7 linked regions of the Oryzias latipes genome follow. The protein of the gene in region 2 interacts with the protein of the main gene of each other region in a pairwise test. Links are inferred from orthologs where the notes say so. Each region holds a gene or a part of one and is shown on either strand. Other genes may lie near its edges. The genes, in order: mpg, hsd17b14, cdkn2d, snapc3, nek6, tbc1d22b and ca8.

The links.
Region 1: the proteins of hsd17b14 (region 2) and mpg interact in binary tests that used the Homo sapiens proteins (3 or more experiments, as listed by UniProt). The two-hybrid records come from large-scale screens. The link is inferred for Oryzias latipes from reciprocal best matches to the Homo sapiens genes HSD17B14 and MPG.
Region 3: the proteins of hsd17b14 (region 2) and cdkn2d interact in binary tests that used the Homo sapiens proteins (3 or more experiments, as listed by UniProt). The two-hybrid records come from large-scale screens. The link is inferred for Oryzias latipes from reciprocal best matches to the Homo sapiens genes HSD17B14 and CDKN2D.
Region 4: the proteins of hsd17b14 (region 2) and snapc3 interact in binary tests that used the Homo sapiens proteins (3 or more experiments, as listed by UniProt). The two-hybrid records come from large-scale screens. The link is inferred for Oryzias latipes from reciprocal best matches to the Homo sapiens genes HSD17B14 and SNAPC3.
Region 5: the proteins of hsd17b14 (region 2) and nek6 interact in binary tests that used the Homo sapiens proteins (3 or more experiments, as listed by UniProt). The two-hybrid records come from large-scale screens. The link is inferred for Oryzias latipes from reciprocal best matches to the Homo sapiens genes HSD17B14 and NEK6.
Region 6: the proteins of hsd17b14 (region 2) and tbc1d22b interact in binary tests that used the Homo sapiens proteins (3 or more experiments, as listed by UniProt). The link is inferred for Oryzias latipes from reciprocal best matches to the Homo sapiens genes HSD17B14 and TBC1D22B.
Region 7: the proteins of hsd17b14 (region 2) and ca8 interact in binary tests that used the Homo sapiens proteins (3 or more experiments, as listed by UniProt). The two-hybrid records come from large-scale screens. The link is inferred for Oryzias latipes from reciprocal best matches to the Homo sapiens genes HSD17B14 and CA8.

Annotation. Positions count from the first base shown.
Region 1 is NC_019866.2:8,193,694-8,197,477, reverse strand, and holds mpg (DNA-3-methyladenine glycosylase), read right to left. Parts: upstream 2,489-3,784; 5' UTR 2,322-2,488; coding exon 2,061-2,321; intron 1,413-2,060; coding exon 1,208-1,412; intron 1,064-1,207; coding exon 609-1,063; 3' UTR 501-608; downstream 1-500. Other genes in the region: GATOR complex protein NPRL3, read left to right, coding at 1-23. UniProt on the Homo sapiens protein: Hydrolysis of the deoxyribose N-glycosidic bond to excise 3-methyladenine, and 7-methylguanine from the damaged DNA polymer formed by alkylation lesions.
Region 2 is NC_019866.2:3,307,114-3,311,373, forward strand, and holds the start of hsd17b14 (17-beta-hydroxysteroid dehydrogenase 14), read right to left. Parts: upstream 2,801-4,260; 5' UTR 2,631-2,800; coding exon 2,549-2,630; intron 2,474-2,548; coding exon 2,435-2,473; intron 2,350-2,434; coding exon 2,258-2,349; intron 2,162-2,257; coding exon 2,095-2,161; intron 1,997-2,094; coding exon 1,905-1,996; intron 1,182-1,904; coding exon 1,077-1,181; intron 1,007-1,076; coding exon 939-1,006; intron 10-938; coding exon 1-9. UniProt on the Homo sapiens protein: Catalyzes the NAD(+)-dependent oxidation of L-fucose, yielding L-fucono-1,5-lactone, which rapidly converts spontaneously to L-fucone-1,4-lactone. Can also act on D-arabinose and L-galactose, with lower catalytic efficiency. Does not use NADPH.
Region 3 is NC_019859.2:10,441,412-10,445,508, reverse strand, and holds cdkn2d (cyclin-dependent kinase 4 inhibitor D), read left to right. Parts: upstream 1-1,297; 5' UTR 1,298-1,417; coding exon 1,418-1,642; intron 1,643-2,987; coding exon 2,988-3,341; 3' UTR 3,342-3,917; downstream 3,918-4,097. Other genes in the region: ap1m2 (AP-1 complex subunit mu-2), read left to right, coding at 1-2, 164-239, 334-359. UniProt on the Homo sapiens protein: Interacts strongly with CDK4 and CDK6 and inhibits them.
Region 4 is NC_019859.2:16,549,255-16,553,475, forward strand, and holds the start of snapc3 (snRNA-activating protein complex subunit 3), read right to left. Parts: upstream 2,801-4,221; 5' UTR 2,754-2,800; coding exon 2,521-2,753; intron 2,005-2,520; coding exon 1,921-2,004; intron 1,840-1,920; coding exon 1,761-1,839; intron 1-1,760.
Region 5 is NC_019870.2:24,939,309-24,943,557, reverse strand, and holds the start of nek6 (serine/threonine-protein kinase Nek6), read right to left. Parts: upstream 2,801-4,249; 5' UTR 2,695-2,800; intron 2,350-2,694; exon of another isoform or gene 2,331-2,349; intron 1-2,330. UniProt on the Homo sapiens protein: Protein kinase which plays an important role in mitotic cell cycle progression. Required for chromosome segregation at metaphase-anaphase transition, robust mitotic spindle formation and cytokinesis.
Region 6 is NC_019865.2:4,883,452-4,886,951, reverse strand, and holds part of tbc1d22b (TBC1 domain family member 22B), read left to right. Parts: intron 1-2,260; coding exon 2,261-2,431; intron 2,432-2,594; coding exon 2,595-2,665; intron 2,666-2,769; coding exon 2,770-2,898; intron 2,899-2,977; coding exon 2,978-3,043; intron 3,044-3,500. UniProt on the Homo sapiens protein: May act as a GTPase-activating protein for Rab family protein(s).
Region 7 is NC_019875.2:20,920,516-20,924,015, forward strand, and holds part of ca8 (carbonic anhydrase-related protein), read right to left. Parts: intron 2,406-3,500; coding exon 2,214-2,405; intron 2,025-2,213; coding exon 1,900-2,024; intron 1-1,899. UniProt on the Homo sapiens protein: Does not have a carbonic anhydrase catalytic activity.

The sequences.
Region 1 (3,784 bases), about 4.9 Mb from region 2:
TCTTCCAGTCGCCCATGGAGTAGCGACACGGAGAAAAGCGTGGGTGGGGTTGATTCCCGTCCTCCAAACGGAATTTTTGTTTTTTCCAACCAACATTTTACATCAAACTCAAACGACGACTGCCTTAAAGTGTGCGAATTTACTCAAATCGAAAAAGTATTTTTCTTTTCCTCGAGACAAATGTTTGTTTACAATAAATTATTTTGTACATAAAAGGAATTGCATTATTGAAGATGATGACATCCCCTACAGAAAGAGCTTATGCTGTGTCGTCTGTGAAGGTTACAGAGCAGCGGAGAGTAATGATCATACCAGGCCTGCAGCTACTTCTCTTTGGGAATCCCAAAGGTGCTGAGGAAGAGGAAGAGGAGGAGGAGTCCAAACATCAAAGAGGCTTGATTTTGCTCTGAGAAAAGCAGAAATGTCCAAACATCTGTGAAATTGATGAGGAGGACCCTGGAGTGTAAATGTTAGATGATTATGTGCATTCCTGATTCCGATTTGTTCAACTTTTTATTGTAATCTATTACAATTGTAACTGTTTTTTTATGTTTAAAACTGTCTGGCTTTCACTTATAAATGAAACAACTGGGAGAGTAGTTTCAGGATTAGTCCTGTTTGGTTCTTCTCACATCGGGCCGTTCTGTCCCAGACTGCACTTCTGAGGGTCCTAAATCCTTCACGACGTTTCCAGACCGCCCGTCTGCTGCTTTATTCACAACACTAACACAAGGATGTCCGCGAAGATAAAACCGCAGAGGCTTCTTGGCCCACTCCCCGTGGGATTCGATCCCGATGCGCGGCGCTGACACTATATCCTGGGGATTTATGGGACTTTCGTCTGGATCCCTCTCCAGCCACACCTCTGGATCTGAGGCTAAATCTCGCCGGTCGAAACAGCGGGGTATATTTAGAGCCTGGCACAGCTTCGAAGGCCCGTTGCAGAGCTCTTTGTCCTTCAGCTGGCGGGCGCTCTCTCTACGTCTGGCTGCCCTCAGCTCCCGCATGATAGGCAGACCCTGCAGGGGCTCCAGAGAACGCAGCAGCACAGCGGCTCCTTCCCCTAAAGGAAGCCCCACATACAAGACATCCGTCAGCAAAACGATTGATTTGACCAACATATGATTGAAAACAAAACTGCTGAGTATCTTTAGTACTCCAAACATTGACACAGTATATGCACTCACAGCAGGGCGGATGGTTTTACCTTCACTAGAGATGTTCATGCAGAGGTAGATCCCATAGATGGGATAGACGTAAATGGTTCCCGGCTTCATAAACATGGCTAAGTTCCTGGCGGTGCGTTTGCCTCCAGCTGAGTGGGAGGCCTTGTCCTCGCCTCCAAGGTAGGATTCGGTTTCCACGATTCTCCCCCGCAGCTCTGTGCCATCTGAACGCCTGCGGACCAGAACCTGCACGTAGTAGATCCGCATCCTTTAAAAAAAGATCCTCTGTCCACCTGTGAAAAACTGATTAAAAGTTCTACAGACAATGGAAATCTGACACTGTGGATCAGAATGTTTTTTTTCATCAGCTCTCAAGTAGAACATGAATAAACATCTCTAAATGAAAAATGTCACCTCAAATATTTTAATTCTTACAATTTATTTGTAGGCATATTTTGCTTTAAAATGGTTACGGAAATCTTTTGATGGCAAATGATGTTTAGGATTGTAAAATTAAGTTTAGCATTAATCAAGTTGAGTAAAATTCTTATATTTGGAAAAAAGAAATGTCTTTAAAGACCCACTCCAATGAAAATAGCGTAGTCTTGTAGGATTTTTCTCATGACGGAGGACTTTTTTTTTAGAAAATAAAGCTTAAATTTTTATTTTGGACATTTGTTTTTTATTCAAATCATTCTGAATCAGGAGTAGACGAATATGGCTTTTGGCTTTTTACAATAGGTCAAAAGATGATGAAACTTTAAGACAAAAATATCAACATTTGACAGATATTTCACTGAAAATAAACATTTTTTTCAAGTGTTGGTTCTACTCTTAAAAACTATAGATGTTTTTTTTGTGTGAGAAAGAACTAAGCTAATGTGTCAGATTTACCTTTCCCAGGAGTGCTTTAGCTAAACGGATGCAGGGCTGCTGGAAAAAATCCTCTCCCAGTCTGTGCTGCAGGTCGTTGGTGAAATACTGGCTTTGTTCCGCCGTCACATTTGAAATATTTTCACTTATGACTAGCTTTTTTAGCTTGGCAGGTGACATTTTGCGTTTCGCTTGCGTTTGGTTTGGAAATGTATTCGCAGATTCGGGGTGTTCAGAGGAAATTGCCAAAGAAGCTGGCAGCTTTCTTTTTGTCCCCGCCATGTAGCCCTATCTGAATTGCGATTGGGCAAAAAATAAATAAATACATACATAAAAATACACTTGTGAATTAGGAAAAACAATTGTGTGTGAATGAAGTCAGCGAACCATACGTGTTAATTCATTTCAACCGTTTGTTGTCATTTCGTTTCCAATCCAGCCAAACAGGAAGTAGGCGATTGTTTTGAATTTCTTAAAGGGGCCGTCACCCCTTTTTCTTTTTAGACCTTTATCCAAGTTAGTGAACCCCCGTCCTCCTCTGTTTAACTTTCTCAGACATAAAGGGCTGAAACATAAAAGCCTCTTTGCAAAGTGAGGCCTTTTCCTGCTGCACTCTTATCTTTTCTGCCTCGTTTGGATAACGATGGATTATTAATAGAACAGAGAACCGTCAGGATCGTGACTGCTTCTGCAGAAACTAAGGGGGCAGCGCCAGTTTAGCCTCTCTGGTTCTGCTGCTGAGTTTTTATTTATTTATTTTATTTTTAAGGGTTACACTGCAAAAAGCCCCCCACCCCCCTCAGAAATAAGTTAAAAAAATAAAAATAAATTAGAGGGAAAAAAAATTCTTTTTAATGCCCACTTCAGTGAAAATTATGTTTTTGATGTTTGATGCCTTTTGTAATTTTCTCATGACGGAGGACATATAAGAAAATTAAGTTTAAAATTGGGTTAAGGTTAGGGTTACAAATGCAAGAAATGTTCACACTTGTTTAATTTTCACTTAATTAAAAAAAAAAATTCACTTTTTGATTTAACAAAACAGATACAATTTTTCTGTGGCTTTTGACATTTTGTTTTCTCATTCTCAATAGTAATCATGACCCCGAAGGCCTGCTCTGCTCATTGGGTGGGAAAAAATTCCAGACAAAAATCTGTTCAACATTTCCAGCATTACTCCCCTGACACGAACTGTTGACTTTGTCATGGCTGACGGACCCCTGAATGCTATTGTCTGCCATGGCTGTGTTTCCATTGCCCGTAGAGTGTGAATCGTGCTACTTTCATACTTACTGGCACTGATAATCTTAGCAGACACATTTTGGCAATGCATTCTGGATCATTTTCATTTTCAGTGTAGATTCATCTGTTTGTGCAGATGGATGGGCGGTGTGCAGCCTGACTAAAGATATTGCAGTAAAACAATGATTCAGAGACATGGAATTGTTGTCTTGAGTGTTTCTTAGCTGTTGCGGTGCAGAATTTGCCAAGAAGTGGTACCCTACAATAGATTAGGGTTATAATTAGGAATGTTTGTGAAGGTTTATAGAAATTTAACAATTCAGTTGTTATAAGAAATGTATTTTTACTCCATAGTTTTGTCTTTGGATGACAACTAACTTTTTCCAAAATGCACACCTGAATCAACTTCATCTTTAAGCTCTTCCTGTCAGGAAACTGTCAAAACAATTGTGTCGTCTTTTGAAATGTCTTAAAGTACTAAGATTATTTTGGAAATGGGAACA
Region 2 (4,260 bases):
GGAGAGATGCTGTCCCACATCACACAAAGGTGTTAGCAGGGCAGAAAAGACCGACAGATGTCAAAATAAAAGCAGTTTTCTTTCTTTTAGTAAATATCCTTTAAGACCCACTTAGATGATAATAGAGTTTTGGGTGTTTTCAACATGTTATTGACATCTTTTTCTGAGGATTTAAAAAAACAAGCTTTAAATTTAACTTCTATATATTTCTTTTTTCATATTGTTGTGAATCAGGAGCAGATTTTTTTTTTAATCCTGCTGCTCTGCAGAAACTATGTTTAACACAGATTAATGTGATACAATTTTTAATTTATATAATTAAATGTTTGTTAGTTTGCCGCATTAGAAATGAGGCTTTTAATGTTCTGTTTTTTAACACAACTAGAAAAAGCTCACAAAAACTAGGAGCTTCTGTGACTGCAGTGTACCTGCACTTTAACATACATTTTTTCCTCTCTCCTCAAATAAAATGTACATTCATTCTTGGTCCAGCTTCGTTTTGTTTGTAGTTTGTAGTTCAGGTCTGGATGAACGTAAAAAAATGAGTACAATAAAAAAAAGAGGGGAGGATGGAAGTTCCAAAGCGTGCAATAAATAAATAAATACATGTTAGGGAGTTACAGCCAGAGGAAGTAACAAAGGACATATTATGGCACATACATTAAGATTTAAATTTAGTATCAAGAGATGGAAGTCCATAAAGAAAACATTCATAGTTACTTAAGAAAAACAAATACATATATACTAATATTTTGTTCTTTCTTCAATTAATATCTGAAAAGTAGCATTAAAATATTTAAAAAAGTGCATAAATGTTCTTACTAAACCACAAAGGGATGGTTTTACTGCCTTAATGTACATCAGTTATCAATGTGGTCACAACTGAGTAATTTATTCTTCAGCTTAAAGTAAGGCGTGGAGAAGTTGGGATGCCTCACCAGTTCACTCTCACGTGGTATTGGCTCTCATCCACAGCCATCGCCTTCGTCATGGAGATGATCGCCCCCTAGTGGAGAAAGTAGCGCATTACAGGAGCCGCCTGACTGCCTTAAGAACATCCTTCCAAATTCACTCACTTTCGTGGCAACATATGGCACTGCATCTTTCTGACCAATAGAGCCCACGAGACTGGAAATATTAATGATGTTTCCCTGACGCTGCCGCAGATATGGCAACGCAAACTGGAGGGAGACACACAAGGACACAAGATGTTAGAACAGTCCTAACTGTGTTCTGATTAGGGTTCTTGTTACACTCTAAAAAAAGTATTTGGGCTGTAGTTGGAAATATTAACTTTTTCACATTGATCTAATTTAATTATTCAGTTTGGTGAAAATAAATCGTTTTTTGAGTTCATTAAACTTAAAAATGACATTGTTATTTTACTTTTAATCAACTTAATTTGATTAAGTTGGTGTAACTTCGGTGTGAAGCTGTCAATGCGTCAAGACATCATGATAAAGAATTGTGGGATACCATTTTCTTTGCCTATCTAGGCAGATTGGGGTTTAAGTGTGAGTCCATGTGTTTTGTTGTCTAGCTGTTTTAATTTAAACTGTTGTGTTTCTTTCTTTCTGCACCATGAGTTAGAGTTGAGAGGATGATGTGATTTAATTAAGTTAGATAAACTTATTTCTTTTTTAGAGTGTAGGGTTCTTATTAGGAAAAGTTCATTTTCTATTTTGGACATTCATACACTACAATTAAAAAGAAAATCCTTAAAACAAAATGTTGTCCTCATAAAGCATCTTTGGTACTAAAAACTAACACAAAAAGAAAACTGTGAACCAATGTTTTCATATTTTTACTACTAAAGGCTCTTTTTATAGTGATTTTGCAGTTTTATTCAAAATAATTGAAACTAATGTAAAATAAAATGTTCTTCTAATCATAGAAAAGTTTACTTTGGAAGCCAGGAAGTAGCTGACGAGGTTCAGGTTGAGCAGATCTCTGAATTCCTCAGCTGTGGTGTCATCGATGGATTTGTGCGGAGGGTCTGAAAATCACAACAAACAAACAAAACAGCAACCTAAAGGTCTCCAAAAATGTCTTCAACACGTCTGCAGGAGGCCAGAGAGGTTTGAGCAGACTCACGCCAGCCTGCGTTGTTGACCAAGCAGTCGATGTGTCCATGCAGCTCCACGGTGGAGGAGATCAGCCTCTGTGGAGGTGGGTGGGAAACAAGCCCCTCGTCAGACTGGATGACAGAAAACGCCAGTCTGGTTGGATGGATTCTTGTAATAACCCAGAACTTCACCTTGATGTCCTCTTCCTTGGTGACATCACATCTCACAAACTTGCAGGATCCTGGTCCGGTTCTGTTCAGTTCTGCCTCAACAGTGTCACCTTCTGCAATAGTGACACAATTAAGACACTTCAAATAGGCCTAATTTGATAATGTACAAGAAAAGGGAAAGACTGTCTCTTTGCTGACCTCCTAATGCACAAAACACCACTTTGGCTCCATTTCTCACTGAAAAACAAACAGACTTTCAGGGAACTGGACTTGAACCTGCAACCCATTTGGAAATGTGGACAGATCCAATACCAAAGGCCTCGGTAATCCCTCTGCCGATTCCTCTAGACCCTCCAGTCACAATAACAACTTTGCCGAGGTAGCGGAAGGACATGGTGTTTGCGCTTTTCCTGCACGGATGTGCACGGAAGCGCCGCAAAGCCGCGAGCCGGTGCGTCCCGCAGCGTCCTGCAGCAGGAGAGGCGAGCGGCGGGTCTGTGCTCTGCGGGAGACTCACAGAAACACCGCGACTGGGCAAAGGTCTGCGTCTGCACCGAAAAAGAAACTATGCTGCATTCAAGCGCCGCTGGGAAGACTGGAAACTCTGAAATTCTTCAATCCTATTAAAAACATTTTTTTTTTTAAAAATCTGAAAGGAATTTGCTTTCGAATATATTACTTCTCCTTTTAACTGACAGTTTCGTGAGAATTTAGATAAAAAGAGGAAACATTTCTGAAGTTCCTTTAAAATTTGTTAAGTCAGCCTGTCTTTATTTCTCCTTTAAAAAATAAAATAAAAAGGTAGAGGCCCAGAAATAACTTTAGACCCGAAAAACGTGGTGTTTTTATTTTAACTTGTCCTGTCCAACAACCGAGCTAACATACAAGAGCTGAAAGCCTTTTGAGTTGGACAGATTTGACTATTATGGATCTTCTGACAGCCAAGGTGTATATCTGTATAAACCCCTTTTAGGTTTTTATTTTAATTGTTTGTTATTTATTTATTATATTTTATGTTTTAAATATATATTTTATTTCTGCTGGAAAGACAAATGTTACATCCAAAAGTGAAAATCTGACACCAAGATAAGTGGAAGATATCTGTCCATCTGTGGGTTAGGAGGAGGGATAAAGCAGACAGGGATAAGTGTGCACGTGCACATGCACACCGGGGGGGGGGGGGGGGGGGGGGGGAGATGCAAGCACGCTGCCAAAGTGTACCATGTGATCATTAGGGGGACCAGATCCTCCCCAGCATGACCGGTAGGACCAAGAGAGAAGGTGCAGGAGACCGCCGTTTGGGCCCCAAGGCCCAAATGGAGGGGACCCTCCTAGGGGGCCCTTCCATCACTGCGGAGCACAGGATAGCCCGCCGTTTGGGCCCAAGGCCCAAATGGAGGGGACCCTCCTAGGGGGCCCTTCCATCACTGCGGAGCACAGGATAGCCCGCCGTTTGGGCCCCAAGGCCCAAATGGAGGGGACCCTCATAGGGGGCCCTTCCATCACTGCGGAGCACAGGATAGCCCGCCGTTTGGGCCCAAGGCCCAAATGGAGGGGACCCTCCTAGGGGGCCCTTCCATCACTGCGGAGCACAGGATAGCCCGCCGTTTGGGCCCCAAGGCCCAAATGGAGGGGACCGTCCTAAGGACACCCTAGGGGGCCCTTCCATCACTGCGGAGCACAGGTTAGCCCACCGTTTGGGCCCCAAGGCCACAGGACAGGCACATCAGACGGCCGCCATTGGGGCCACCGGGTGCTGGACACCGGGTGCTGGACACCGTGACGCGGGGCCACATCCCAGAGGACCCAGGCGCCGCCCACCACAGCAGGCCCAGGCACCCGACCCAAGCAACCACAGCTCCAACCCCCCCCATACACTACACTATCCTCTACAACCCCCTGACCCAACACCTCCCTTATCCATCCCCGGTGCCCACCCTACAGTGGGGAGGGTAGGTCCCGGCAGGGTAGCCCCCCCCCCAGGCTTGTCCCCACCCAGGCACTCTCACACTCACAAATATTCT
Region 3 (4,097 bases), on a different chromosome or scaffold from region 2:
AGGTATGAATGCTTCAAAGTGTTTATTATATCAGTTGCCAATTACTGTATTGTCATTAAGACTTTTAAATAGTTTTTTTTATGTCCATTGACTTGTTTTGTCTTTGCCTTCTAATCTATATGCGATAATAATGTGTCATTTAACTTTATGCATTTTTTTTCAGGTTCGGTATATGAAAATCATTGAAAAAAGTGGCTACCAGGCTTTACCCTGGGTGCGCTATATAACACAAAGTGGAGGTATACTATAATAATTACGTATATTTGATTAAAATTCAAGTATGAAGTAGACACTATCTGTGTTTTAAATTGTGTGCATTTGTTGTTGTTTTAGATTACCAGTTGAGAACAAATGCCTAAGTAAAGCCTGCAAGATGCTTTACTGCATATCTCCAGGACTTCCAGAAGAGCACAATGAATTTTACCTTTTATCTGCACCTGAAGAATTTCTTTAATTTACTTCTTTTTTGTGTGTTTTAACTGTTTTATATTAAATCTCCATGCAATTTGATTTTATTGTCACCTTTTCAGATCTTTTTAAAATTGTTGAAATAAGATTATTCCTCTGAAAACAACTTGTTTTTTGTGCACCTGTTTCTTTGTGAGTTGTTCCTTGAGGACTTTATATGCTGAATTTAGCAGCCGTGGTGTGGTTCACCACCGTGCAATCAGTGCCGGCAAATTCCGCCTAAAACGAAAGACATGAACCCGCCTTTTTTTCCACACTGTTGTGAAGAAATACAACCAAAGCGTGGAAATGTGAATGGACTGTCTTTGAAGAAACAAACGAATACGAATCGCCCGCTTTCTTCGCTTCGCGCTCTGATTGGTCAATCCCCACTGTTACCACAGTGATAACGTAGTAACAGAGTTGTAACCACGCCTCTCTTACCATTTATGGAAGTACAACGCCTATTGGGCCACCTGTGATTGGCCAGCATATCTACTCTCCAATGTTTGTAAATTGTCGGCTAGATCCACTACTGTTTGGATCTCAGCGCGCAAATGTATTTGTCAATGTTTATAAACTCTTCCATTTTGAATTGTATTTAAAAAATAACCGGACTGCGGTGTCGGCGGGCTGAAAATTCGTATCGAGGATTCGGATACTAACGTATTGACGAAGGTAGGATTAAAGAGCTCGGTTTTTACGGTTAGCTTTTAGCTTTTCTGTTAATTTTCATAACTCTCTGTCGATGTGACTTAAGTGTCGGCCAATTTTCTCAATAAAAAAAATATGGATTTGGATATTTTCTGCCGTTTGATTAGCCCAAACAACCAAGTCAAAAACAGTACGCTTACAGTCACGTAACATGGCGTCACCGTAAAAACTACAAGTTACGTTAGCCGGATGTTGTTGTTAGCTAGGTGTAGCCGACAGCAATCTTCCTGGCTTTTTCAGTCTTCCTCGTGCATTTATGTGTTTTAATGGCCCAACTGTGGTTGATTTTCATGGTGTACGGGGCGCGTGTGCTGTTGAACAGGCAAGAACGGAGTTTATAATGGTCCTCAGTCAGATGGACGCTGGCAAAGCGTTGACGGCGGCGGCAGCCAAAGGGAATACCAGCGAAGTGCAGCGGATCCTGGAGGAATGCAGGGTGCATCCTGATACCCGGAATGAGTTCGGCAGGACGGCGCTGCAGGTGAGACCTGTCACGGTAGTAAGACATTAGTCATCTGTAGGCGGTTGGTTTGCTCCTCCACTGTATTTACAGCCCGCTATAAACATAAAACTCTCAACACTTGTTTCTTATAAAATCTTCACATCAAAAAGTGAGCTAAATATTTTTTTAAACCATCGTAATATACAAGGAATTGACTCTGCGCAATAAATAAGTCGCGCATGTTGCCAAATTAGTTCAGTAATGAATAGCCGCTTCCAGGAAGTTGCGCTGTTCCTGTTTTTGATACTTTTCACAGTAAAATGTTCGACGACACTTTCTGTAATTTGCAGACTTGACTGTACCGGAAATCTGATTTAGGCAACGGGGGTATTTTTTTTTTTTTTTACATTTGAGCTGCTTTAATTACGAATAAAAACTGTAAACACAGTAACCACACAACAATTACTATTCCAATATTTAATTAACCCAACATGCAGAGATTTCAAAGTAAAATAGTGGTATTTGGGTGGGAAAAAGGTTAGAAATTGTCCATTAATATTTATTACTAAGTACTGTATTTTATTTAATATATACTATTTATTGGTATACTATGGTAAACTAGTATACTATTAAATATAAATACTATTAATACTAAATCATCAAACAAGAATTATTGTTTTATTATTTCAATCCTTCACTGTGTTATGACTCCGTATTTTTAGAATTTAAATGTATTGTTTAGATGTTTTAATGTATTTGTAAGCAGCCCAGTACTCCCTTGGAATCTTAATGGGAATATCCTGATTAAATAAAGGTCAGAAAATAAAATATATTACTATTATTGCTGATGTCTCTGGAGCATCAGTGCCAGTGGTGGAGATACTAGTTGGTGCAACTTTTTCCCTATTTCCTTCATGGTCGAGTCTGTTTATATACTTTTTTTTAATGTACACTTCTATTATTCGGTAATTTTCCATTTGTGTTTTTTATGAAAAAGAATAAGTTAAAAAAAACGTGACAGAAATATTTTTTTTCTCCCACTTTTTATTTTATTTAATTAGAAGATTGTAAAACATGTTAAGTCAGGCTACTTGACGTGATGATACTGCATTTTTATAGCACACATAAAAAAATAAATGCTTTAACAAACTGTAAGCAGAAAAAATGAAAATGTTCTTTTTCAGGTTTAGTGCAGATCTCAAAGTAAAAGCTGTATTTTATTTAGTGTATTTGTTTTTTATGACAGTTATATTTTTATTTATTTCTATCTCTTATTATGGATGGATTTTTCTTTTCAAGCAAAAGTGAAGGCGTTCTGTAAAGGAAGTTGCTGATTTGTGCATGAGGGCTAATAAATATGCATACAATATTTATTTTTGAACAGGTTATGATGATGGGGAACTCCAAAATAGCAAGCTTGTTGCTGGAGAAAGGAGCAGACGCCAACGTCCAGGACAAACACGGCATAGCGCCTGTCCACGATGCAGCGAGGACAGGGTTCCTGGACACCCTGCAGGTCCTGGTGGAGAATGGAGCTTCGGTGAACATCCCTGACCAGAACGGCGCCCTGCCCATCCACATTGCCATCTGGGAAGGCCACCGCGATGTCGTGCAGTTCCTGGCTCCGCGTTCCAACTTGAAGCACGCCAACCAGAGCGGTCAGACGGCGATAGATGTAGCCCGAGCTTCCTGTGTGCCGGATATGATGGACTCACTTTTTGCTCATATACATAGTTAGAAAAGTTTTCTTCTCACTCGTCGTCATTCTTCATTTTTTTTTGGCTTCAAACCTTGTGACTTGAACTCATTGCTGTGTAAAAGATTATTTTTTTTTGTTATTTGTAGCTCAGCATTAATATGTGACACAAGACATATTGTCTTGGCAGCTTATTTTCAGTGGATGGGTGTCTATATACTGTAGATACCTCTTTTGCACAGTGCAATTTAGGCACCTTATACTTATGCATATATCTGTTTTCCCTTTTGACTGGGAGTGCACATTTGTATAAAGTTTCCGCAGTGTTTCCTAACTATTTCTATTGTGTAAGAATTCATACACGTGTGTTTCTTTTTAAATTACAAAACTTGACATGGTGCACCCTCGTTGCTTTGCCTAGTTGTTAATCTGAATTAGATGTACTTAGACTTTCAATTGACTCTTATTTATTGTTGGACTGAACATTTCCTGTGACGTTGTAAATACAAACATATTGTGATTTGTTTAAATGTTATTTATATAAAAACTTTTACGGAAAAAAGTGAGATTATTCACTTTAATATTTGAGGAAAAACAATAAAAGTGTTGAACTTCAAAGCGAAGTGTTTGAATTTTTCTTTTTTTAACTGATACTTTAAGTGTTCATAGCAACAGGAAAGTAAATGTGAAAAAAGGGGAGATGAAGTTAAAAAAAAAAGAAAATCATGTTGTTGCCTTTATTTTTACTGATTTTGTTTTCTTTTTTTTATAAGGAACCCACCTTTTGTATTTTCTTTC
Region 4 (4,221 bases), on a different chromosome or scaffold from region 2:
CACAAACACTCCAAGTTTCCTCATTGTAGCTTTGCTCACTTCACTGCCATAAGATCAAGAGACGCTGACTGTACCTCTGCTTCTTCCTGCTTTAGTCGTAGCCTGATCACTAGCCGCGGTTACATGGGCAAAATATCTTGACTGGATCAATGGTCAGATTAGAATTCAACCATGTACACGGGCCCAGAAACCCTTTTTCCGATTAGAATGAACGTTCACATGGTCACGCTTTTGGTCGGAATAAATCATTTGGGCATGCGTAGTAGTGTTGAAAATACCCGAAAAGGGGAAATGAGTCCCGTTGTAAACAAACTGCCACAGTAGACAACTGGCAGCTCGGTAATATTCCAGATGATCTTCTAAACCTGCTTTTATTAATGTTATGATATTATGAAGCGCCTGTTCGGTCAACATTTTATTTTTAATCCTTGTGGTCAGTGCTTTTCTTGTGGAAGATGGAGGAACTGGAGGAACCCAGGGTTCTTCCAGCTCCCACGAGAGGCTAACACACGCGCTAACAAAATTAGCCTTGTTTGATGAACACAAAATCCATGCGGGAAACGCTGCAATATGCATCTTGGCTGCACGTAAATATTTGGGAATATCATCAGCCTTTATTTTGTCAGGACACGACGGAAACACAAATCCACGTGACTGTTTGAACGGCTTCTAAGGACTGAGTGACATTTCTGCTTTAAAAAGTTCGCACACCGCCCCAAAGCCGCTGTGTGTGAGCTGGCGGTCCGACTCCGACCTCTGCTTGGACACACGGTTATCCTGAGTCCGGCAGCCGCTAACCCAGATTGCAGTCCGAATTATTCCAGACATAACAGAACAATAAAACGCACACGCAGCAAAGCATCCTCCCTTTCCCTCAAACACAAAGTTACTAATCCAGCTGCTCTGCTCAGAGATACAGTTCGCTCGGTCCACCGGCACCCGAGCCCAGACCGGGCAGGGTTCAGACGTCACGAGGCACAAAGCGCACCTCCCCTCTTAACCCCCTCGCAGGGTTTAAGAGGGGAGAGGCGAATAGCCAGCGGGGCGAGAGCGGAGCGGCACTTCACACCGGGCCTCTGCAGAGCAGCTGGTCGGTCCTGTTTGAGCTCCAAAGCTTTCTCTGGAGCGAAACATCGCCTATGCATGACATTAAACCAGAGCAGTAGTGACACAGGATTGGATAAACAATCGGCATAACCCACCTATCTCGATGGATCGGAAAGAAATTTTGATTCGAACAAGTCTGATCGGGGCAGAGTATTCCGAACAGCGTGTTTACATGACGCATTTTTCTTCTGATCAGGCGGTCTTTCGATTACTTTTGCCCATGTAAACGCAGCTACTGCAAATGTTGCATTCTCAGCTTTGTGGTTGTTTTTCTAATGCTAAATAGTGGGTTTTTGTTCCAAATGTTTTTGTTGCTTACGACGTATGACTTACCCCTGCAGAAATTGGAAACTGGCATTCTTTACCTATTCTTTCTCCCCGCCAAAAAACCTACCAAAATGACCATTTCACTGATAGAAAGTCTGACATTTGCTACACTGGAGGACAGTCCAGCAGTCTACCTTCCTTCACAGCAGAAACTGGCAGGATCTCAGGCTTTTGTAGAGGCAGATTAAAATGGGGGTTAAGATCAATTTCACATGCAAGTCAATCAACAACCGTACCCATCGGAAATCGGAGTACAGAGAAGGACAAAAGTGAATTTTCTCATCCCCTAACATCAAGTTAGATTGAATGACTTTAAAGTAACCCACCAGCTCATCAGCATAGAGATCATGTCGGTTCTTGTTGACCTTTAGAGAAGCTTTGTGATCTTGCCTTTTTTTTCTTTGTCTGTTAGAGGAAAGAGAACAGATACTTCATCAAGCAGCATTGGAGCTTAAAACAGCAGAACTCTTAGTGAGATGTTTTTACATCAGAGTTTTCAGTGTTGAGTCTGGAGGAACAACTTCTGTATCAGGCAGCTCATCTTCAGCATGGCAACGAAGGGAATCCAGGCTGGAAAAAAAAAAGTGTGACATCTGATTGGGGATAGAGTCGTCAAAAGTAAGAGAATGTCCTCAAGCTTATTAGCTTTTCGATAGAAGTCAATCTACTTCCTGTTTGATTGTGGAGAAAATTCCAACAGAAGGCAAAGTTTAAAAAATTATCAATTAAAACAATTTGTAAAAGGTATTTTTTTAACATTACTCATGATGTGTTACAAATAATTGTCTTTATTCATCCAAACGTGAATGCACAAGTGTTTTTTAAATGAATAACTCTTAAATATTTAGCTGCTTGATTTGGAGTAAAATTATGTTAAAAATATGAATTTTAAGTTGAAAGGACATTTTTGTAATTCACTTCCTCTTTGTTAGCTTAACGTTTGTTAGCAACGCAACTCGCTTTCTTTAACTGCTGCAACTTGGATTATTTTAAGAGGTACAAGTTTAATACTTATTAAAAAAAAATTTTTTTTTACTTTTTACAAAAATCACACTAAATACTTTACAACAAGGTAGCTGTGTCTACCTGCAGACGGATCTGAGCTCAGCCATGGTCTCCTCACTGATCCCCATCGCCTCTGCAAAGTTAGCTTCAAATGTGTCTTTGTCTTCTTGTTGGTATGAATAATCCTTGGGCCTCAGTCTTGTCAGCCATCCGTCTCGCACTGAGCCGATGCGAAACGGTTTGGTGTTAACGCCAATGTATTCATAGTCAGGGATGTCTGTGTCTGGAACCGACGACTGCTCGGACGCCGCCATGTTTCTAAACAAGAGGACGGAAAAAAACGTAGAAGAAGAGGACTCTTCCGTGTGATAGGCATTATGGGTAATGTAGGATAATCTCACTTATTTATATGTCAAAACTATTTGCATAAAACGAATCCTTTCGGGTTCTGAAAATATGTGTTTTTCATATTGTCATTAACTTCCACACAGCTCCCATGAAAATTAGCAACATTTAAAAGTATGTAGCCTCTCAATGAATTTAAGCCACATTACTCAAATTCTTTTTTTTAACTTTTTCTTTGTGGATTTTCCTGTCTTTAATGCCCGTAGGCTGTGTAAGCAAGAGCCTGACAGTCAACTCAAATATGTTAATCCCAATGAGTTATATCACTAGAGGAGACATCACGTGGTTCCTCATGGGAGGAGAGCACCGCCATCTTGGTGAGGTCGAGTTACTACTGCAGTGCATGCATGTGAACACATTTTTTGCATAATACCAGTTCATTGTGCGGGTTTCAACTGCCAAAATCAGAGAACTGAGTCCATGAAGGAGGAAGGTATATCATTTCACAGGTAAGGACTATCATTTTTTTCTTATAATGCTGCAGGGGCTTCATTAATCATACACATGTTGACATGCATGATGCTGCAGGGCTGTTATCAACATGCTGCATGATGTACGGATAATTTGCTGTCGAAATAAATGTACATTTTATTTTGCTAAACCTGTATATACAGCATACTAGGCTATTATAGTAATATAGATTTATACATTTCTGACTCAGTGACTGAATTTTTCTTGCAGGTTTCCAATGGATTCAGACTTAAGGAAAAAGTGGACCTTAGCTATTGAAGGAATTTATATTTTTTTGGTCTTTATTTCTCTTAGGCTTTTTATCTTATCTTTATTTCATTGAAGGTTCTCTTTCAGGTTTACTGTGTGTGGTTCCCGTACTTTGAATTTCAAAGGGGCTTCCTGAACATTGCATATGTAAAGAGGTTTTAGGGCTGGAGCTCCAAACTCATCTTCCTTCAGCAGAAACAGTCTTTGGCTACGTTCACACTGCAGGGCTTAATGCTCAATTCCGATTTTTTGAAAAAATCCGAATTATTTGCTAGACCGTTCACATTTCCAAGTAAATCCGAACTTTTGTGATCTACAGTGTGACCGTGAAACGACCCAGAGTTGACCCGCATGCGCAGAAGAGTACTCAACGTCGAATGACGTCACTCGTTGTTTGCGGAAGTAGCTTACGTTAACATGGATGTCAACAAGTGTTGTCAACAGCGGAGCTCTTTTTTCATTAATAAATTTATTTTCCCAAAGGAGCCAGCACAATAACAATCTTCCCATTTTTAAGAAGGCATTGGAGCCGGGATCGTCTGTAACCACTGTTGTGGAATGTATTGGGCCCACGCACGCGCGCGTTTGTGTAAGGGACAGGAAAAGAGCGCGTGCAGCGGGAGAGAATGGGGGGGCGGCAGTGTGTGCGCGTATTCA
Region 5 (4,249 bases), on a different chromosome or scaffold from region 2:
AAGAACTTGCCTTAGTGAAACATACTGATAGTGTTCTTTATTGTTATCAGTATGTCACATGTGTGTTTTTGGGCCTCTTATCTTTTTCTTCTTTGTTCATCTAAGTTTTGGCCAGAACTAAAGTTCTTACTTTTTCCTTCTTTTTGAAGAAAAAAGGGCATCTTTATTTCCTCTTAATCATTCATCTTAGTTTTGGAAAGTACTGTTAAATATTTGTCTTCTTTTAGAAATTATTTGCACTTTAAGTTTTGTTGAATTATTTAAATAAAACTATCACAGTGAAATGGAAACGCATTTGTATTTTTGCTTTGCTATTTGTCCATTTATCGCAAGTCATACCGTCATCGCCGTTTCAAACACTGATATCGCATATCGCAGATTTTTCTCATATCGTGCAGGCCTAGCTCAGAGACAAAGTTCTCCTCTTCCCGCTTGTTTTTGTCCAGATGATGAAGCTAAAGGTTGTTTTAAAGAAGCCGTGCAGTGATAAAGAAGATTTAAGATAGGAACTTCTTTCTGGGGCGTGCGGACATCACTGTGCGTTATCCCTCTTACTGCAAACCCAGCAGCCAATCAGAATCGAGTATTCACCCGGACCATAGGGTTGGGCGATGTCCCTTAAATTGGCCGTTGACGATGTTTATTTCCCAATCCGCGATGATCCAGTATAAACTGAGGGAAGTGACTTTAACAAAAAAAGTAACAAACAAAATAGAAGAGAAGTAGTCCGCTCCCGCACTTCCGGGGGAGTGCGGACTTAAAGCTTTGTGTTTGATGGGAAGGGGGGGGGGGGGGGTACATGAGCGGTATGTGTGGGAGATTTAAGACTGCGATCCGTCCCGCAGCTCTAGGGGTACAAGCAACCGAACTCAGAACCGGGTCTAAAAGTGTGTCTGAGCACAGCTCGGATCGTCAGCACACACAGCGGTTTGAGCATCAAAGCAGAAATGTCGCTCAGTCCTTAGAAAACATTCAAACAATCACGTGGATTTGTGTTTCCAGTCGTGTCCCGACTAAATAAAGGCTGATGTTATTCTTACATGTTTACGTGCAGCCAGCAAGCAGCACCATCCAAAGCTAATGTTGTTAGCCCGTGTTAGCATACTAATCCTGGCTTCGTTCAGAAAAAGCACTGACCACACGGATTAAAATTCAAATGATGAGCGAACAGGTGTTTCATAATAACCGTAACATTATTAAAAGCACGTTTAGAAGATCATCTCGTATTTTACCGAGCTGACATGTCAATGTATATAGCCGCTCGGCGCTGTTTAACATTGTTTTGTATTGAATTGTTACATACAATAAAGTTTGAAAAAAAAAAAAGCCGCTCGGCGGAGTTTATATCCTTCCGTTTTTCAAACCCTACTGCGCATGTGCGAATGATTTATTCCGACGGAAAGTGTGACCTTAGTGAACGTTTTTATATTCTAAAAACATTTTTCTGGAACCATGTACACGGTTGGATTCTAATCCGACCATTGATCCCATCAAGATATTTTGTACATGTAACCGCGGCTTATGGTGTCGACGCGCAACGTGGCGGGGGCGTGGCATCACGATGGTGGTCTCTCCATCGGGATGTCAGTCACCCATCACGATGGACGATGATATCGCACAACCCTACCGGACCATGGTATAATTCTGGATATGTTTACTGATATCTAAGTGATTTTGAGAGCTATATGGCGCTCTGTCAAAATGTCACTATGTTTTTTAGGACTTGCAAAAAAGGCTGGGTGTTATTGTAAAAAAAACTAACGTGGCTAACGTGCAGCGGTGTCAGTTAGTTAGCGTAGATCATTTCAGATCAAACCTGTTAAATACTTGTTATATAACAAAATCTGTATAAATTGACACTTTAGCTTACTGTACGTAAAAAAGATTAGTGAAAATAAAAAATAAATAAACCTCACATGTAGCTTATACCAACAAGATGCATTTTTTTTGTCCATTTTCATTCATAGACAGCCATGTTTTGATTTACCGTATACTGGTCTGCTATAGTTTAACGCATTTAGAATATTTGATTCAAGGCTGATGTTTTTCTCAAGTGCGACCGCCCAGCACAAACAGCGATGGAAAATCATCTTCATTAATTCGTGCAGCCAAGATGTGCACTGCTGCATTTGCCCGCATGTATTTTAAGTGCATCCAAGGTTGTTGGCCGCACATATTTAAAATGAAACTTATCTGTCACACAGTAGCTGTGAGAAATGTTTTTTCTGCATCATTTGATCCGTCCCCTGGAGGACGCTGAGCTGCAGAAACACAGCCGCGCTCAGGAACTATTTGGTGGTTTAACCCGAAACCCCAACCATAATACTAACCTTAAGACTTGGGGCCGAGAAAAAAGGTCAGGGCTGGCCCCACGAATTCTGAACATGATGTACGGATGGACACTGTCTTGATTTTTTTTTTTTTTTTATTCACCGGTTTTGACACATCCAGCTTTCCATACATTTGCAGCAGATGGGGGGACTTCTTGCTGGTCTTTCCGTCCCCGGTCCTGTCACAAACGTCGTTTCTACATGGTGGTTGACGCCCCGAACCGAGAGTTCTGGGTCTCCGGAACGAGCAAATGAGCGCGAGGCGTCTCAGAGCCACACGCGTGGAAACTCACGGTCAGCTCGCCGTCCAAACGCAGAGTAGTTCAGCAAACACGTCACGCAAAGAGTGCGTCTGAAGCCCTACCTCAGGAAGAATTTGGATCTGCGGCCGCTCTCATTTCGTGTTCCGTCGCTCTTGGTCCGCTCATTTATTCCCCAGAACCTCCTCCTCCTGCTGCTGTTCAGCTGCTGCCGCCACGCGCGGTTGATTTCTCTGCCGTTCAGATTCAGAACACGTGACAACCTTTTTTCGCAGCTCGTGGGTTCCCGCGGCGTGGCAGCATTGGGTTAGAAACAACCCCCCCAACGTACCTGAGCAGGTACCGCAGATGCCACATGTTTCCAGGACGGATTCCTCCCACGTGGGGAGTTTCTGTACGAACCGAGCAAAAGGGGCGTGTGCGTGCGTGAGTTATTACAGGGATGTAACCATTCCTTTCACCAACAATTCCATTTCTATCACAGCCTTTGGTTGCTGATTCGATTCAAAACTTTGGTTCATTTCAAATGATCCGATTCACTGACCTAAAATGGATCCAGAACATCTTCAGCCAAAACCTCAACCAGTGTGACTCCGAGATAATTCCTGGTTCAATGAAGGTGACGTTTTCCAGATGCAATGGATAACTTTCAAGTGTAAATTAAATATGTGTATAATCACACAAGTAAACCAGAATTGATGATAAACCCATTCACATTATAGTTTCCTAGAGTTCAGTTGTTTTACCACATCCAAAGAATCCAAAGGAAACATTATTAGAACATTCTAGCACACTGGATGGTCACATGACATTCAAAGTGTTTCCACACATTGGACTGGAATGATGGACTGTGGTCAGTTTTCGCTTTCATCACGTCTGTTGTCCACTTTGATGGTACTTGGTTGTTTTTACATCATAGTAAAATAAATCTTTGTTTCAATAAACGGCAATTACCAATATTGATAAAATGAATTTATTTTACTTTGAAAAGATTTTACAGTGATATAGGTCGATTTAATGAAAATTTTGCCTCGGACAAATTGATCTGGTTGGATGGTAGGAATAGAAATCGAATTATTGATTAATCTATTAATCATTACACACTAAATATGTATGTTTGTTTGAGTTTTGTGTGTATTTTAGTGTTTTTCTTAGTGTCTGTGCCTGTTAGTATGTTTGTGTTCAAATGTGTGTGTTATAATAATAATATATAATGTGTGTGTCAATAATATGGGACCCTTTGCAGCATTTATATTCATATTCTTTTTGTTAAATCCTTATAGGGTAAAACATCTGTTAGTTCTAGACAGCATCAAGGTGTTTTGATTTGCTTCGAAAAAATTAAATCACATTTAAATGTTAAATGTATTTTATATAAATTGTTTTTAATTAGAAATGAATGAATGCACTAATGGGTTAATCCCTCACTTCCTAGTAGGAACAAATGATGAGCTTCTGTCTTTTCTTTAATTTGTCAGGATTTACTAAAAACAAATGATTGATCAAACCAGTTCACTGTGGAGTGGTTTCAATAAAAATAAAACCTTCACCACCCTTTGCTTTTCTTCTCCTTTTCTGTCCTTTTTTCTCATTCTTCAGTTTCTTTATTTTGTGTTGATTCTGTTCTTTTACCTGTTTTGTCTTCCTGTACAAGTGTTG
Region 6 (3,500 bases), on a different chromosome or scaffold from region 2:
AATGCAGTTTTTAGCCAAAATCCATAAACCGTGTGGGTTTTTTTCTAGGACATAGTTTCTGCAGAGCAGCAGTAGTTCAAAGGTTCATTCACCTTTGAGTTGTGGGTGGGACTAGCTTTCAGCCCCTCACCTAACATTTCCGGCGTGACAAAAATGGCGAGCAATATCGGAGCTATCGGGCCGTCCAGTTTGGATCCAGATTCCAGCTCAGACAAGGAAAACGAAGGCGTTCATGGATCTGCAGGTGGATGCATCAGAATGGAGCAGAGCAGGAAGCTTGTAGCCCGCCTGAGACCATCTTTTTCAATCGACATTTTTTCCTCTGCTCCAGCTATTTATATAAAGAAATACTCAAAAATGCATTTTTATGCTTAATTTTCTTTATACATTTTTTTCAACATCAGAAAAATGTCTCCGAAAAGACCAAAAGTACCATTTTCATTGGATTAGATCCTTAAATCTGACGTCATGTTTTATAATAATCCATCAACAGTTACCGCTCAATTTGTATTTTAGTAAAAAGTTCTATAAAAACTTAACAAAACAATAAAAAAATAGAGTTTATTGATGTAAGTTTCCTTCCTGTAGTTGAACACAGTTTGACAGATCCTCTCAGGCAAAGAAGCTCTGAGATCTTCAGGGTTCTTAAACGGGGACCATTAATACCAAAGCAAAGCCTTGTTCTTGTTCTACATTTAAAGTTCAGCATGTGAGGATCTGAGGGTTCTAGATGATCTGTGATGGGCCATTTAGTCTGATACATATGGACTGATCCAAATAAATAAGAACAGGTTTTTTCATTCCTACAGTTTCTTTTATGCAGATGGTCTGTCTGTTTTATGAGCAGCTGCATTCATCAAACACCTGCAGCTCCATTCACAGGTCACCTGAATCCCTCCTGCAGTTACTCATCCTGTAAACAAACCAGAAGAAAGAGATGATGGAGCTTTTCAATAACTTCAGCTGCAGTTTTATGAGACTCTCAGCGTCAGACAGTGGGAGCCCAGAAGAGTCCCTGCTTTTTTTGTTCTTCGGGAACAACTTGAGCTCTATTTATTTGATTTCTTCTTCCAGATTATCTCTCAGTAAAGTTCAGATCTGTACTCCCGCCGTCTGATGATTCCTCATCATAAAAATGGAAATTAAATTCAAACGATAAAGTTTTGAGCCACATCCATTCACACGAGTCAGTAAGAACTGGTGACATAATTTTTTTGTTTCTCATTTTAGAATAATCTTTGTTCATCTTCATTTTACCTGCATTGTGTTACAAAATAATCATAATCATATTCAATCTTCTTAAATGACACTTTGCAGATTTAAAAACTCAATGAATTTGGTTACTAATAAAATAACTAAAAAAAATTTAACTAGATGTTATTAAAAATGATTTGAAAGGAAAAAACACCTATTGTTTAAAAAAAAAAAAAGACCCAGAAATGACAGTGGGGAGAGTCCACGATGCCCTCATCTGCTTGAGCGTTCAGAAGCCTGCAGTTTTAGAAAAACAGCAAGATTGTCTCACGTCAGTCACAAGAAGAAATGCAAAGTTTCTCTGCCTGCTCAGTATTCTGTTATGAGGCACAGATTTGAATGGTGGATGATAGAGACCAGTAAAATGAATCCCAGTATAATCGGCTGTGAATTGTTCAAAACTCGGCTGCTGGCCTTTTAACCACAAAGAAGGAGCACATGACACCAATTTTGAAATGTCTGCACTGGCTCCCTGTCAGATTCTTTCATTAGTCTTAAGGCACTGCTTTTAGTTTATGATCCTCCCGGAGCCCTCAGGTACACGTCTACTGGGGTCAGAACAAAAACCCACGGCGAGGCCTCATTCCAGAACCGTGAGCCTCGCCTGCAGAACAGACGTGAGGGCCTCGACTAATGTGGACAGTTTTTAAGAAAAGCTGTAATCATTTTAGCTGCTATTAAGTAAGTTTTACCTTTTCGTCTGTTGCTGTTGTGCCCTGTCAGCTTTGTTTTGGAATCTTTTATTGATTTCATGGGGCGTTTCTTTTGTTTCAGATGGGTTTGATGTGCATATGTGGTGGATTATTATTTATTCATGATGTAAAAAGCACTTTGAGGTGCTGCTCAACTGGAAATGTGCTCTACAGATAACGTTGAATTTGGAAACATACTGTTGATATGTGCTGAAAATCTCTGAGCAAAAGGCCTTTATGGTTTCATTCCTCCTTAAGTGTTTTATCCCCTACTGAAGTCGGCAGAGGTTCATGGGCGTTTTGTTTCTCCTCAGCAGTTCGCTCCCCCCTGCAGAAGCAGCAGTCGCTGCCCGTGCGTCCCATCATCCCTCTGGTGGCTCGCATCTCTGACCAGAATGCTTCAGGAGCCCCCCCCATGACGGTGCGGGAGAAAAACCGGCTGGACAAATTCAAGCAGCTGCTGGCGAGTCCCAACACTGACCTCGGTACTGCGGCGCCGCAGACACCTCCTTGTAGATCTCAGTCAGCACATCAGGAGTGTCACTTTTGAGTGTTTGAACAGCTGTTGCAGTTTGTCCACCTCTGCTGTGAGGTCTGCAGAGAAAACCCGGAATGACTGAGGTCCTCTCTCCTCCCTCCCTCTCACAGAGGAACTCCGGAAGCATAGCTGGTCTGGAATACCGAGAGAAGTCCGGCCGATCACCTGGAGACTTCTATCTGTAAGGCTCCCAACCTGCAGTGTGCAACGTTTATCAGTCTAAACCTCTCCCCTAACCCATCGGAAACATCATCTTCTTTTTTTCTGCCCTTGACCTTCTTACAGGGATACCTGCCTGCCAACAAGGAGCGCAGAGAGCTGGTGCTCCGCCGAAAGCGGGAGGAATACTTTGGTTTCATTGAGCAGTATTATCACTCCAGAACAGATGAGCACTTTAAAGACACGTACAGACAGGTGAGGCAGAACTTTAGTCCACACAGAAGACAAACCTCTGACCTTCTGGCAATAATCTTTTGGACCCTCTTTCTGTCAGATCCACATCGACATTCCGAGAACCAACCCTCTGATTCCGCTGTTCCAGCAGCCCGCCGTGCAAGAGGTTAGATGTGCGCGAAAGGCCTCTTTGTCTTTAAATGGAAAAGTTCACCGTTTTGTCTCGGCGTGTTTGGGTTCATCTGTTCAGCATCAGTCAGTGGCTCAATCAGCTCAGTGTCAGCTCCCTGCAGCCTCCACCACACCAGTCTGAAAAGACGTCATCCGCAATCTAAAGTGAGACCGGAACAAGAGCAGACTGTGCTTTTTCCTGTTTCACAGCTCGTCTTAAGCAGAAATGACGTGGTGCATGTGGTGACCGCAGAGGAAGAAGCTGCATCTGATACCAAACCTCAGAGGAACTCTGCTGTCAGAGACGATCTGCACTGACCTCAGCTCGTTCCTCAAACGTGGCTTCAAGCTGATCCAAATTTAGATTTGTGAGAAATGATTCAACCTCAGTTTTATCGCAGCACAACTGACATAGTTTGATTTTGTTTTGAAGCAAACATGTTAAACACTTA
Region 7 (3,500 bases), on a different chromosome or scaffold from region 2:
CAAAGATAACCTAATACCAGAGTTCCTCTTTGTCTTCTTGAATCACTTGAAGACATAGAGACCCTTTCCAGACTCTGTCAGACTGTTTTAGGACTCACTCTGATGAACATCGTGTTTTTGTGTTTTTAACATGCTCTTGTGGCATTTTTCTGATGATGAAGGACATTCATTCATTCAATCATCTTCTAAACCCGTTTTTTTTCCTTTCGGGGTCAGGATGCTGCCGGAGCCTATCCCTGCCACTCGTTGGCAAAGGCAGGGGACATCCTGTACGGGTCGCCAGTCTGACACAGGGCCACAATCACAGGACATATGAAGAAAATTAAGCCAAGATTTACATTTATGAGTAATTTTTTTAGTTCAAATCACTGTAAATCAGGAGATGACAAAAAAAAAATGCTGTTTAAAAAAGATTTTATTTGTGATGTAGAAAATACACCACAAGCTCTTTGCTCCACTCCATTCTGATGACTTATAGATCCATGCATGTCTTCGCTTTCCTCGTTTGAGCTGACATCTGGCTCAAAACTGCACAGCTGGAGAGCTCAAATATTAGTGTTGCACCGGTAGTGTGAGGGGCTCTAACCTAACCCAATGGGAGAATGTAAACAGAGAGCTCTCAGTTATGGGTGGGCAGAGCGTGCTCTGCACCAACAGTCCTACACACAACTTAGAGGTGAATTTATAATAAACTCCCAAACAACACAGTTTTTTTTTTTAACATTTTGGCTAAAAGCAGCATCCTCATTGGGAACGCTTTTACAATGAATCAAAAGATGATTGGAGTGGGTCTCTAAGACATCTAATACAGCCCTTTTGCAAACATGAGGATTAAATGAGACACCACAGTAAAACCCTTTTGTTGATGTATAACTTTCTTTTTCACATTATTTCTTTTTCTCTGACCTTATTTCCCTTTTTGTAAGTTGTGCTTCAATAAGTATAACCTGATTTAAGACATGGTACCTTAAAATTCTTAAAATTCTGTTAATGATAAGCAGACTTTAGTCACCAAACCCCCCCCCCCAGTCCCGTAAATTCCTCTGGGGGATTTCCCACAATGCACCAAGCAACTCTAACGAACTTCTCTTCTTACGTTCTCATACATTTTCCATCTAGTGTGTTCAGAGGTTTTTAATTTTGGCTTTTCATTGTGTTTGTTTAGAATGAGAACCTGGTTTAGGAGAACCTTTTTTTAAATTCAAATTAAATTGAAAAATAATGACTTTTTTGTTCATGAAACATACTTCTTAGTTTAAACCTAATAATTCAAATGAAATCGTTAAAAACTTAAGAGTTTTTACTGTTCTGGATTACCCTTAGCAAAAAAATAGTTTATGTTATAAAGTATACTTTGAGCATAAGAATGCAAGTGTACTGTATGCCACGTACTTGTAGTATAGGAAGAATACTAACCGAATACTTCTTCAGACTAAATTGGAACATTTGAAGTTTACAATATATGTATAGTATATAAAAGTTAAACTTCAAGTATACTGCCTTACTTTTAGTATAGTATTCTTATTATACACTTAATAGACTACTTTTTGCTCAGTTGTTCATAGTATAGATTTACAAACCACACTCATCTTTGGGTGAGTTAGAGGTCTTTTAATCCTATTTAGGAGGATAGATGCATGGAACTTACAGGCTTCTTTTAGTTGAAGCCTGTAACATTAACACCTGAACACTAAAAAAAACCTTTAGTGTTTTTATCAAAAGTGTTATTTTGTCAGAGAGAAAAACATTGAGTTCAAGAACTCAACAAGCCCCAGTGTTATCTAAAGGAAGGATCAGTGCTAGTGCCAGGAGGGCAAACGTGGGAACGCTGTGTTTTCTTTGGAGGCACAACCTTGCTGGTGTGTGTGTGTGTGTGTGTGTGTTTGTGTGTGTGTTTACCTCCATGGGGAAAGCCTTAAAGTTGACTGTGTGCTCTGACCCCCTCTGGTTTTCCTTGCCCCAGTGGAACCGAACCTCGTGAAGTTCATACTCATGGTCACTGGGTAGCGGGCCCCCTGTAACCACTAGAGGAAGAAAAAGGAAACTCAGGGGGATTGTGGGTAGCACACACAGTAAGGTTAGTAAAGTGTTTGAGCAACACGGAATTTGAGAAAAAAGGGGGTCATTTGAAAGGGAATGTTTGTTGGTACTTCAGCCAACACAAACCAATGGCAGAATAAAAACTGTGTGGCATTGGGGTTAAGAGGAGTCACCTGACTTGGACTTGAGGAGGATGCGGACGGTGTGTCCGTCATTTACGACTTCGCAGTCTCGACACACCACATAGTTTGGAGATAAGCCCACGTCCAGCAGGGAGGGGTCGTATTGGGCCTCCCTGGAGTTTAAATTTATAGGAGACTGGTATTCACCATTGGCTGCTGGGAAATGGAGTCCCCATTCTACACCTGCACATGAACAAAAAATAAACAAAGCGCACACACATTCGTAAATAGCGCACCACATTTTTGCATACTTTGTTTGCCCTTATGACATTACTACAAAATATTTTTGGATGGTTAAATTTAAATGATTATAATACATCAAAATAAAAAAAAATGTTACTGAATCCTGCAGCTCAGACACATGAAAAAAGCAGCTTTAGAGTTGATTTTATGAAGCTTAGAGCTCCTTATAGAGTGCAAAACTAAGTTAGTGAGTGTCAAGCTACGGACAAGTGTGACGCGCGTTCAAGACCGCACTAAATGCGGGTTCTTGAACGCACACTTAGCCAATGGTGTTTACACTGAATAAGCAGGGAGTGGCTCCTTCTACTTCTTTTTTTACCTACTGTTTACTAGCGTTTTTCCACCACGTACAGTTGGAAGAGGCTTGGCGCAAAATGTTGAAGGGGTAAAATTTCGTCAATCTTCCTCCAGCCCTTTTCCATTCATTACAATACATGAAAGACTTGGTGTCATATAATTCCGCTCGGGCACAAACAACATTGATAAAATTCTTCTACATTAACAATTTTCAAACAGTTGGCACTTCAGTTATTTAAAAAAGACACCATCCAGACTGACCCCCCTGGAAATGCTCACTGGTATTGAATTTTGCTACAGTTTTGCGGGTGAATTTGAAAACGAAAATGCAATTCCCTCTTTGCATTTTCACTTTAATTATGTCACAGAATGAGCGATGTTAAAGAAGAAAATGAAAAAGCATTATAAAGGACTGACATTTCATTCTAATTTTGAGTCCTTTGATGCAGTTACATTTTGAAAATTAAAAAGCATTTCTGTGAATCATTTTAATTGTCAAATTAGACATTTCTAAATGAATTTTGCTACACATTTACCAGAGAAATTTTTGAAAATGAAATGTCAAAAACCATTTTCTTTATCATTTTAATTAAGTGAGAGAATAAGTAGTGTTGAAGTAGAAAATGAAAAAGCATTTTGGTGGATTGCTTTTTCATTTTAATTTTGAGTCAAAAAATGCAGCTTCATTTTGCAAATGAAAAAGCATTTCTGGTTTTGACATTTTTATTTTTATTATGC